2 linked regions of the Canis lupus familiaris genome follow. The protein of the gene in region 1 purifies or fractionates together with the protein of each later gene. This does not show direct contact. Links are inferred from orthologs where the notes say so. Each region holds a gene or a part of one and is shown in the gene's direction. Other genes may lie near its edges. The genes, in order: FBXL13 and CETN2.

The links.
Region 2: the proteins of FBXL13 (region 1) and CETN2 purify together in Homo sapiens (affinity purification with mass spectrometry; 3 studies listed by BioGRID and IntAct, counting the BioPlex papers as one, with this or other methods). This does not show direct contact. The link is inferred for Canis lupus familiaris from reciprocal best matches to the Homo sapiens genes FBXL13 and CETN2.

What each region holds. Positions count from the first base shown.
Region 1 is NC_049239.1:17,297,638-17,302,209, forward strand, and holds the start of FBXL13 (dynein regulatory complex subunit 6), read left to right. Parts: upstream 1-1,535; 5' UTR 1,536-1,588; coding exon 1,589-1,663; intron 1,664-4,572. Other genes in the region: ARMC10 (armadillo repeat-containing protein 10), read right to left, coding at 945-1,083. UniProt on the Homo sapiens protein: Substrate-recognition component of the SCF (SKP1-CUL1-F-box protein)-type E3 ubiquitin ligase complex.
Region 2 is NC_049260.1:122,023,608-122,028,133, reverse strand, and holds the start of CETN2 (centrin-2), read left to right. Parts: upstream 1-1,519; 5' UTR 1,520-1,559; coding exon 1,560-1,658; intron 1,659-2,575; coding exon 2,576-2,734; intron 2,735-3,045; coding exon 3,046-3,174; intron 3,175-4,526. UniProt on the Homo sapiens protein: Plays a fundamental role in microtubule organizing center structure and function. Required for centriole duplication and correct spindle formation. Has a role in regulating cytokinesis and genome stability via cooperation with CALM1 and CCP110.

The sequences.
Region 1 (4,572 bases):
GAAAGTCATTCTTAGGGGCTTTTGGGGTCATCTATGTGAAATGTAAACATCAAAAGATGGAGCGCAGACCCCTAAGTTTAGCCTTGGCGCCTGGCTCCACGTGGTAACCACCTGCTCATCATAAAGATCCCGAGAAGTCTTATTTTCCTCTGGATCAAGGCAATTAGCTAACAGCGATAGCCACCCCGATTACCAGCGAATTTAGGATGGACTCTGTGTGAATGGTGCTGTCAAGCCCTCTTGAGGACAAGTTCCTGTTTATCTTCAGAACATGCAGAGATGACACGAAACAGACTTTATCCGCCAGATACACGAAGTGAAGACACGTGTGTCTTCTCAATCCCATCAGCTGATCGCCTGTGATGGGCACGGCAATCTGGAGTCGCGCTTATTCAACAATAAAGCTTTAGTTCTTTCCTCCATTTGTAGGGAGGAGTTTCTTGGTTGGCATCCGTGACCCGCACTATCCTAGAACACCCAGCAAATCCTCGGAATCCCGATGCACCACCGGCTTTGGGGCAGCAACCACCCCGGCGCTGGGTCGCGGGGGGTCGCGGGGGGGGCGCCCCCAGCTCCCCGCGCGGGCAGCTGCTTCCATCCGCGGCCCCGGGACCTCCGCAACCTCGTAACCGAACCGCAGGGAGTCCCCGGGCCTCCGCGCCGCGGCGGGGCCCCCGCCCTCCTTCCTCAGGGGCGGCCGCAGGCACCACCGCACCTTCCGCGGCGGGTCCTGACCCTGAGGGGCAACCCACGCGCTTCTGAGAAACCACCCAATCCTCCGCGGGGACGCCGCCCTCAGCCAGGAAAATCCGGGCGTTTTTACCCCGGGATTTTGGACGAGGTGGACGCAGGCGGCAGCTCAGAGCCCCAGCGAGGGGGCCGTCGTCCGTGCCCCCGCCCCCGCCCCCCGCCCCGGCCACCTGCCGGGCACCCCGTGGCCTCACCTGCCGAGCGCGAGGGGCGCAGCCGAAGCCCGCGGGCGCCTCGCCGCCGGCCCCGCGCCAGCTTGTAAATGTAGTAGCAGGCACCGGCCCCGAGGACCAGGCCCGCCGCCACCCAGCCCACGTCCCGGGCGCCGCCCATGCTGCCCTGGGGCCGGGGCGCTGCGCTGGGCCTGGCGCGCGAGGCGGGGAGCCGCGGATCCCGCCTCAGCCCGAGCGCCGGCGCCGGGAGGACACAGGAAATGGGGCCCGAGCCCCGCCTCCCGGAAACGGCCCTGCTGACACGGAGGGACCGCCCACTGCGCCCCGAGCGGCCCGGCGGGGCGGCAGGGGCGGAGCGGGGGCGGGGCCGGAGCGAGGGGGCGGAGCTAGGGCGGAGCTCCGCGAGGAGGCGCAGGGACCGCGCGCACCGAGGGGACTCACTGGGGGACGCGGTCCCCGTCCAGAGGTGGGCTTCCCCTCGCTCCCGCCCGGGCTCGGGCCCGCCTCCACGCCCGGCGGCTCTCCTCGGCTCCCGGCGGCTCCCGGCGGCTCGCGGCGGCGGGGGCGGGGGGCTCCGGGGCCGCGCCCGCCCCGCCCCGCGGTTGCCAGGGCAACGCCGGGACGCGCTAGCGGGCGCGGGGCGCGGAGTCTGGGGGGCCCCGGTCATGGCCTCGCTGCGCACCGCCGACTCCCGGCTGAGGAGCTACTTCAAGGAGAATTACATTCCTCAGGTGTGCGAGGTACTGGAGCCCGCGGCGGCGGCGGCGTTAGAGCAGCGGAGCCCGAAGACGTCCGGGAGGAGGGGCGGGGGTTGGGCCCGGCCGGGAGCCGGGGGCGGAGAGGGCAGGCGGCGCGGCGCCCGGGGCGGACCGGCTCGGAGGCCAGAGCACGGGGCGCGGGGCCCGGGACAGGAACCGCGAGCCCCGCACTTAAGGTCTGGGCAAGAGGCCCGGGGCCGCAGGAGGATGCGCAAGTGGTCGGGAGAGCGAGCGGGCAGCGGCGGGCCCCGGGGGAGGCGGAGCCTGGGGGCGCCAGGCGGCAGGCCCCGACCCCACAGCCCGACCCTGCCTGACCAGGGGCCCCTCCCCCCGTCGTTACAGCAGGAAGGACTGGAGAGGCCCGGCGGGTTTTGTAGGTTTGGGGATTAGGAAAGCAAGACCCGGTGACTGCCATTTTCTCGACAAAGATTTGGTGAGACGTATGCTAAGCCGTGCGTGTTTGCGCGGGTTTGGAGGCTGCAGAAGGGGTCTGAGCAGAGACACGTGTGTGGAGACTGAGGGGGAGAGAAGTCTGGGGAAAGAGACGAGGAGAGCCCGGCAGCCCTGAGAGCCCAGCTTGCGAAAGTGACTGCTGTGCACTTGGGAGGGCAGTTCGGTGCAGCCTTTTTGAATGGTTAATTTAAATTTATTAAATGTTGACTACATATAGCCTTTGACCAAACATTTCACTTCTAGGGATCCACTGGAGAGATAGGCTTTCACGTGTATCCAGAAAGCTGTCCGAGGATATTCATTATGGTGAAAATAGTAAATAACTTCTATATGAATAAGGGAATGAGATAGTATATAAAGTATGTGTATACCTTTTGAGAAGAAAAGCTCTCCAAGACATAGTTTAAAAGAAGAAGAAAAATGCAAGTTGCCCCAGAAGTGTCTCCTACAATGTAGCTACTGTGATTTCCTTTTTTTTCTTATTTTAAAGATTTTATTTATTTATTCACGAGAGACTCAGAGAGAGGCAGAGGGAGAAGCAGGCTCCATGCAGGGAGCCGGATGTGGGACTCGATCCTGGGACTCTAGGATCACGCCCTGGGCGGAAGGCAGGCACTAAACCGCTGAGCCACCCAGGGATCCCTACTGTGATTTCCTATGTCTGTGTGTAGCGACGTTTAAGACAATAATAATGCATGCATAGAACATATGCAAAACTATTAATAGCAAATGTTTGGGGGGAATGCTTTTAGGAGAGAACCCTAATTTTCTTTGCTGTGTATACTTGTGTATTGTTTTACTTTTTTTCTGCTGAGTCTCATTCATGTTTTACTTCTACACGATTATATTTCAAAATATGTAGAGAGCATGGCACTCATCTTCCCCAGGGTGTAGTTTTTCTTTCTTTTCTTCTTCTTTTTTTTTTTTTTTTAAGATTTTATTTATTTATTCATGACAGACACACACACACACACAGAGGCAGAGACACAGGCAGAGGGAGAAGCAGGCTCCATGCAGGGAGCCCAACGTGGGACTCAATCCCAGGTCTCCAGGATCATACCTCAGGCTGAAGGTGGCACTAAACCGCTGGGCCATCAGAGCTGCCCTGGTTTTCCTTAAGTAGCAGTCAGTAAACCCAATAGAGGTACAGAAATAAGATTGACTTCATCCAGGAGAGGTGTTGGCCAGGCATATAGTGTGGAGGGGCAGCGGGGAAGGAGCTAAGCTTTTTAGGGTACCTGAGTGATGGGCCAAGGGACTGGGTATGAGGTGAGAATGGGACCGGATATGATACATGGGTAGAAAGTGGAGGTTCCTAAGGAGTAAAGAGGATTAGCAGGAGTAACTGAGTGTGGGAGCTGGAAAAATAGGAGGGTAGGGGTCCGAAAGTGGAATATTTGGGTTTAAGATTTAGATCACTCAGAATAGCTGCGATGACCCTGTCTTGGTTGGCTGTGAGATACATAGCAGAAAGTGGGCTCGAGCTGAGGGTCCGGGAGCATCAGAGAAGTGATAGCCTTTCCTCACCTTGCTCTCCACTTCCCATAAGCTGGTAGAGGCATCCCTGGTTCCTCCTTTGGGTGAGAGCACCCTAGCCCACCAGCCTACCACATTGCTTTGCTCCCAGAGAAGGGGAGCCCTCAGAAGTGCCCTTCACTGAAGGCGATATTCTCATGAGCCCTTCCGTCACTTCTGACCACGTTACCAGCGGGGCAAGAGAGCAGGCTTCTGGGAGCCCCGCTCCCTCCTTAGCCTGGTTACCCACTTCCCCTAAAGGACTATCAGGATGAACCCGTTGAGCCTCATATCCCTACACAGCTACTCATCTGACCCGATTCAACAGGACTAGCAATCCTCTAAAACCCATCTTCGGCAAGCTTTGGAATACATACATTTTTTTTTTTTTTTTTTTAAATCAGGACTTCCCTGCATATTTAACCTCGTCTGAATTTCGCCCGCCTATCCTGAATAAAACCTGGATGTCATTTCCCTGCAAACCCCTGCATAGAGGCTGATTTAAAGAAAACAAACAAACCACAAAACACAACCCTGCTTGACTTATTGGGTTACTGATTCTATTGATTGATATTTTCCATCAGTTTTAGAAAATTTTTGATCATTTTCAAATAATGCTTCTACCCAATTCTCCTTTCTCTTTCTGGGACTGCAATCGTAATTATGTTAGTTTTTCCCCACCCCCTGCTCTGTTTTTTCCTTATTTTTCTCTTTGTGCTCAAGTTTGGATATTTTTCATGATTGTCTTCAAATTTATTGATTCTGTTTTATGCTGTGTCCAGGATATTGTTAATAAGTATATCAAATGAATTCTTAATTTCAAACAGTATATTTTTCAGTTTTAGAATATCAGCCGATTCTATTTTACACATTCTGATTAAAATTTTGCCTGTTTTCAGCTATTTTGTCTATCATTTCCTGTT
Region 2 (4,526 bases), on another chromosome or scaffold:
AAACAAATAAACTAATTAAAAAATTGGCTGAAGACATAAACATATATTTCTTCAAAGAAGACATTCAGATGGCCAACAGATACATGAAAAGATGCTCAACATCACTCATCACTAGGGAAATGCAAATAAAAACTACAATGAGACATCCCCTCAGCTGCCAGAATGGCGAAAATCAACAACACAAAAAATAGCAGGTGCTGGCAAGGATGTGGAGAAAGGGGAACCGTCTCCCGGTGTTGGTGCGAATGCAACCTGTGCAGCCACTGCGTAAAACAGTATGGAGGTTCGTCAAAAAATTGAAAATAGAACTACTCTCATGATCTAGTAATTGCACTACTGTTACTCAAAGAACACAAATACAAATTCAAAGGGATACATGCACACTGATGTTTGTAGCAGCATTGTTCATGATAGCTAAGATATGCAAGCAGCCCAAGTGTCCATCAACAGATGAGTGGATAAAGGAGATGTGGGGTGTGTGTGTATGTGTGTGCGTGTGTGGGGAATACCATCCAGCCATAAAAAATGAAACCTTGCCATTTGCATTGACATGGATGGGGCTAGAGAATATTATGGCAAGTGAAATGTCAGAGAAAGACAAATACCATATGATTTCATTCATATGTAGAATTTAAGAAACAAAATAAATGAACATGGGGGGGGGGGTGAAGAGAGGCCAACCAAGAAACAGACTCTTAACTACAGAGAACACACTGATGGTGACCAGAGGGGAGGTGGGGGGGGGAATACGTTACATTGGTGATGGGAAATAAAGACTGCACTTATCATGATTAAAGAAAACAAAAGAAATTTAACAGAGTTTTATAAAAGAACAGTCTCCAGGCACCCCTCACACTTTCAAAACTCTTGTGTGACTTTGCTCAGTGTCTCCGCCCGAGTGGGTGTCAAAAAGTACATTTTGATGACCTCTCCCCTCATGCTCAGTCATATCTGTTTCACTCCCTCAAAACTCCCCCTCAAAGGGAGAGCCTCAGCGGGATTCGGTTTCTAAGTCGCAGCTGTCCACACCTCCTCGACACTCCCATTCCCTTCTCTGGCTCTGCTGTCCCTTGAGCACAGTCTCTGCTCTGACCCTCAAGGTCACGGTCTTCTCTGGCCCCTCTTTCCAAATTCAGTCTTAAGCCAGACCAGAAAGCCCCCAACCGGAAGGCCCCACCCAGCCCCCTACCCTCCCACCCAGTAGCGGATAGAAGGCAGCCTCCGAGGGTGAGGTCGTGACCCTTACCCGTCCGTAGGCGACCCCCCGGCCAGCCTCCGCGCGCCCTCAGCTTGCACCCAAAGGCCTCGGGCCGCTGGCGGTCACCCTTTTCTCCCCACCAGCATGAGCCGAGGATCGGCCGAGATGCCTCCGCCAAGGGGATTGGCTCAGCTCGGCGCCGGCTCAGCCAATCGGCGCTCACAATGTGATCCTGTCCAATGAGGCCAGGCCTCGGCTGTGAAAGCACAGCCCCCTTGCCCTGGGCCTGGCCTTTGTCCGCTTAGCCCCACCCACCACGGCTCCCCGCCAATGGGGAGCAGCGGCGGCGAGCGGGCTGCCAATGGGGAGCGGAGCCGCGCGCGCGGGGCGGTGGGAAAGGCGCCGAGTCAGTGTGTACGTCGGTTGCCGTAACAACGGTCCGCGGAGTCCATCGGCAATGGTGAGTGGGGGCCGCCCTTTGGTGCCCCGCGGCCAGGGGCTGAGCCCTTCTCAGGCTTCGTGTGGCCCTGCCGTCGCTCCCGCGCCGCTCTCGGCTTTGGAGTGCCCCTACTTCCTCTCGGCTAGTTCCCGGAAGGGTAGGGTAGAGACGTCGGCCGCCACCTGGGCCTGCGGTCCTGCGCCGCCTCCCCTTCGTTCAGTCTGCGCCCACCCATCCCTCGGGCGCGCGTGGCCTTCCCCTGCCAGCCCCCGCGTGACTGCCCCTGGTCAAAGAATACTCGGGTTACCCGCAGGCTCTGACCTCTCAGACCCTGACCTCCTGGTCGCTTCGTGCTACCAAAGTTTACCCACAGACCTGGGAGGAGGTTTATTATGTTTGATTGTTAACGTGCATTCTGAATAAATACAGGGATCTTTCGGGAGACGTTTTGATCTAATTAAAGTAGGCACAGACCTGCCTAGTGGATGGAATTTTATTATACACCTTAGCAAAGTAGTAATATTGGGCCAAATGTAGAAGTAATCACAAAGTTGGAGTACAGAGAGGAGGAATACTGCGAGCCAATGTTGTAAGGGCTTTTCTTGAATTAGGATCGCCAAATTCAAGGACAGCTGATCATCTGTACAGTTATCCACAGTCAGCTCCTTGGCTGGATCTCTTTGGGGATGATTTTCAATAAGAGATGTGCAAAGGAACACGGGATCTCCTTGCTTCTACAAAGAATAGGAAAAAAGAAGGAGGGATAGCGGTGCACGGAAAGATTGTTGTTTCAAGTAAAGCCCTGTTATCTCTCCTATTAAGCAAAGCTGTGGAATTGCTTGGTGTAAATATTTTATGTAAATATTTGTAACTATTTTATGTAAAATATGGATTGCATCACTTAATATCGTACTTCTGTGTTTGTAAAACACCTAAAGGCCTCTAACTTTAAGAAGGCAAGCATGGCATCATCTGCCCAACGAAAAAGGATGAGTCCTAAGCCGGAGCTGACTGAAGAGCAGAAACAGGAAATCCGGGAAGCTTTTGATCTCTTTGATGCTGATGGAACTGGGACCATAGACGTAAAGGAACTTAAGGCAAGCCCTTTACATTCCCACTGTACTGCCTTCCTTTCCTCTACTTCTTTCTCTTCTTTCCTTGTCACTGCTCTACCCCTTTTGCCCTCTTTTCCCTGCAAAAAGTTTTCCTGTTTTTCTCTTCTCCTGTCTTTATTTACCTCAAGTGTTATAAAATAAAATTGAGCACAAATATCAATCTGCATAACGCTATAGTGTTTCCCAGTCATTTTAACATGATTGTGTCAGATGCTGGCCTCATGCTCTCACTGTCATTTTTGTTCCTGCCAGGTTTTGATGTGCATATTGACATGATCCTGTTTTCATTGTAGGTGGCAATGAGGGCACTGGGCTTTGAACCCAAAAAAGAAGAGATCAAAAAAATGATAAGTGAAATCGATAAGGAAGGGACAGGAAAAATGAACTTTAGTGACTTCTTGACTGTGATGACTCAGAAAATGGTAAGTTACTAGGATAATCAGCCTATTTTCCACCCATATTGGTGAACAAATTTGAATCTAGATATAAAAATGTCTTCACTGAAGAAAGGTTAATACCAACTGGAGGGTTCTGCTGAAAAAGGGCAGTACTTATGACTGACAGGATGCTTAGGTTCTATCTGGCTCTCTTCAAGGCCACAGAATCACAGGAAAAGTCAGTTTACCCTTTGAGTAAGAGAACTGCTGTCACTCTTTTGTGATTATTTTTTTCCAACTGATGTGTTAACGTGCTGACCACAAGCAGTAAAACCTGTAAACACCAGCAATATTGCACTGCCTGACAATATGAAATGCCTATACTTTAAAGGTCAAAATTCTTTTCTCTCTCGTTTCTGATTCTGGGCGGCTCTAGCCTGAGGGCGGGTGACTTCTGACAGCTGTGTTTTCCACTACACTGGGAATTTGGCCTTTCAGCACTTTCATTTTTTTTCTTTTTTTCTGATTTTATTTTTTATTTTTTTATTTTTATTTTTTGGAGTTCGATTTGCCAACATATAGTATAACACCCAGTGCTCATCCCGCCAAGTGCCCCTCTCAGTGCCCATCACCCAGTCACCCCAACCCCCCGCCTACCGCCCCTTCCACTACCCCTGTTCATTTCCCAGAATTAGGTGTCTCTCATGTTTTGTCACCCTCACTGATATTTTCACTCATTTTCTCTCCTTTCCCTTTATTCCCTTTTGTTAACTTTTATATTCCCCAAGTGAATGAGACCATATAATGTTTGTCCTTTTCCAATTGACTTACTTCACTCAGCATAATACCCTCCAGTTCCATCCATGTTGAAGCAAATAGTGGGTATTTGTCGTTTCTAACGGCTGAGGAATATTCCATTGTATACATAGACCACATCTTGTCTATCCATCCATCTTTCGATGGATACCGAGGCTCCTTCCACAGTTTGGCTATTGTGGGCATTGCTGCTGTAAACATCGGGGTGCAGGTGTCCCAGCGTTTCACTGCATCCTTTCAGCACTTTCAAGGTTGAAGTCACCCATTCCCTAGTGCCTCACTTGTCCCCATTTTATTTTTTAAAATTTTATTTATTTATTCATGAGACACACACACACACACACACACACACACACACACACACAGAGGCAGAGACACAGAGGGAGAAGCAGGCTCCATGCAGGATCAGGCCCTGGGCTGAAGGCGGCACTAAACCACTGAGCCACCGGGGCTGCCCACGTGTCCCCATTTTAAAGGATCCAGAGGATCAAGAAAGACTATAATATGTCACTTGAACAATCCACCTCACTCCCCTGAGTGTCCTCCCACCCAGGATGTATGTTTATGTTCCCCTTGGGCCA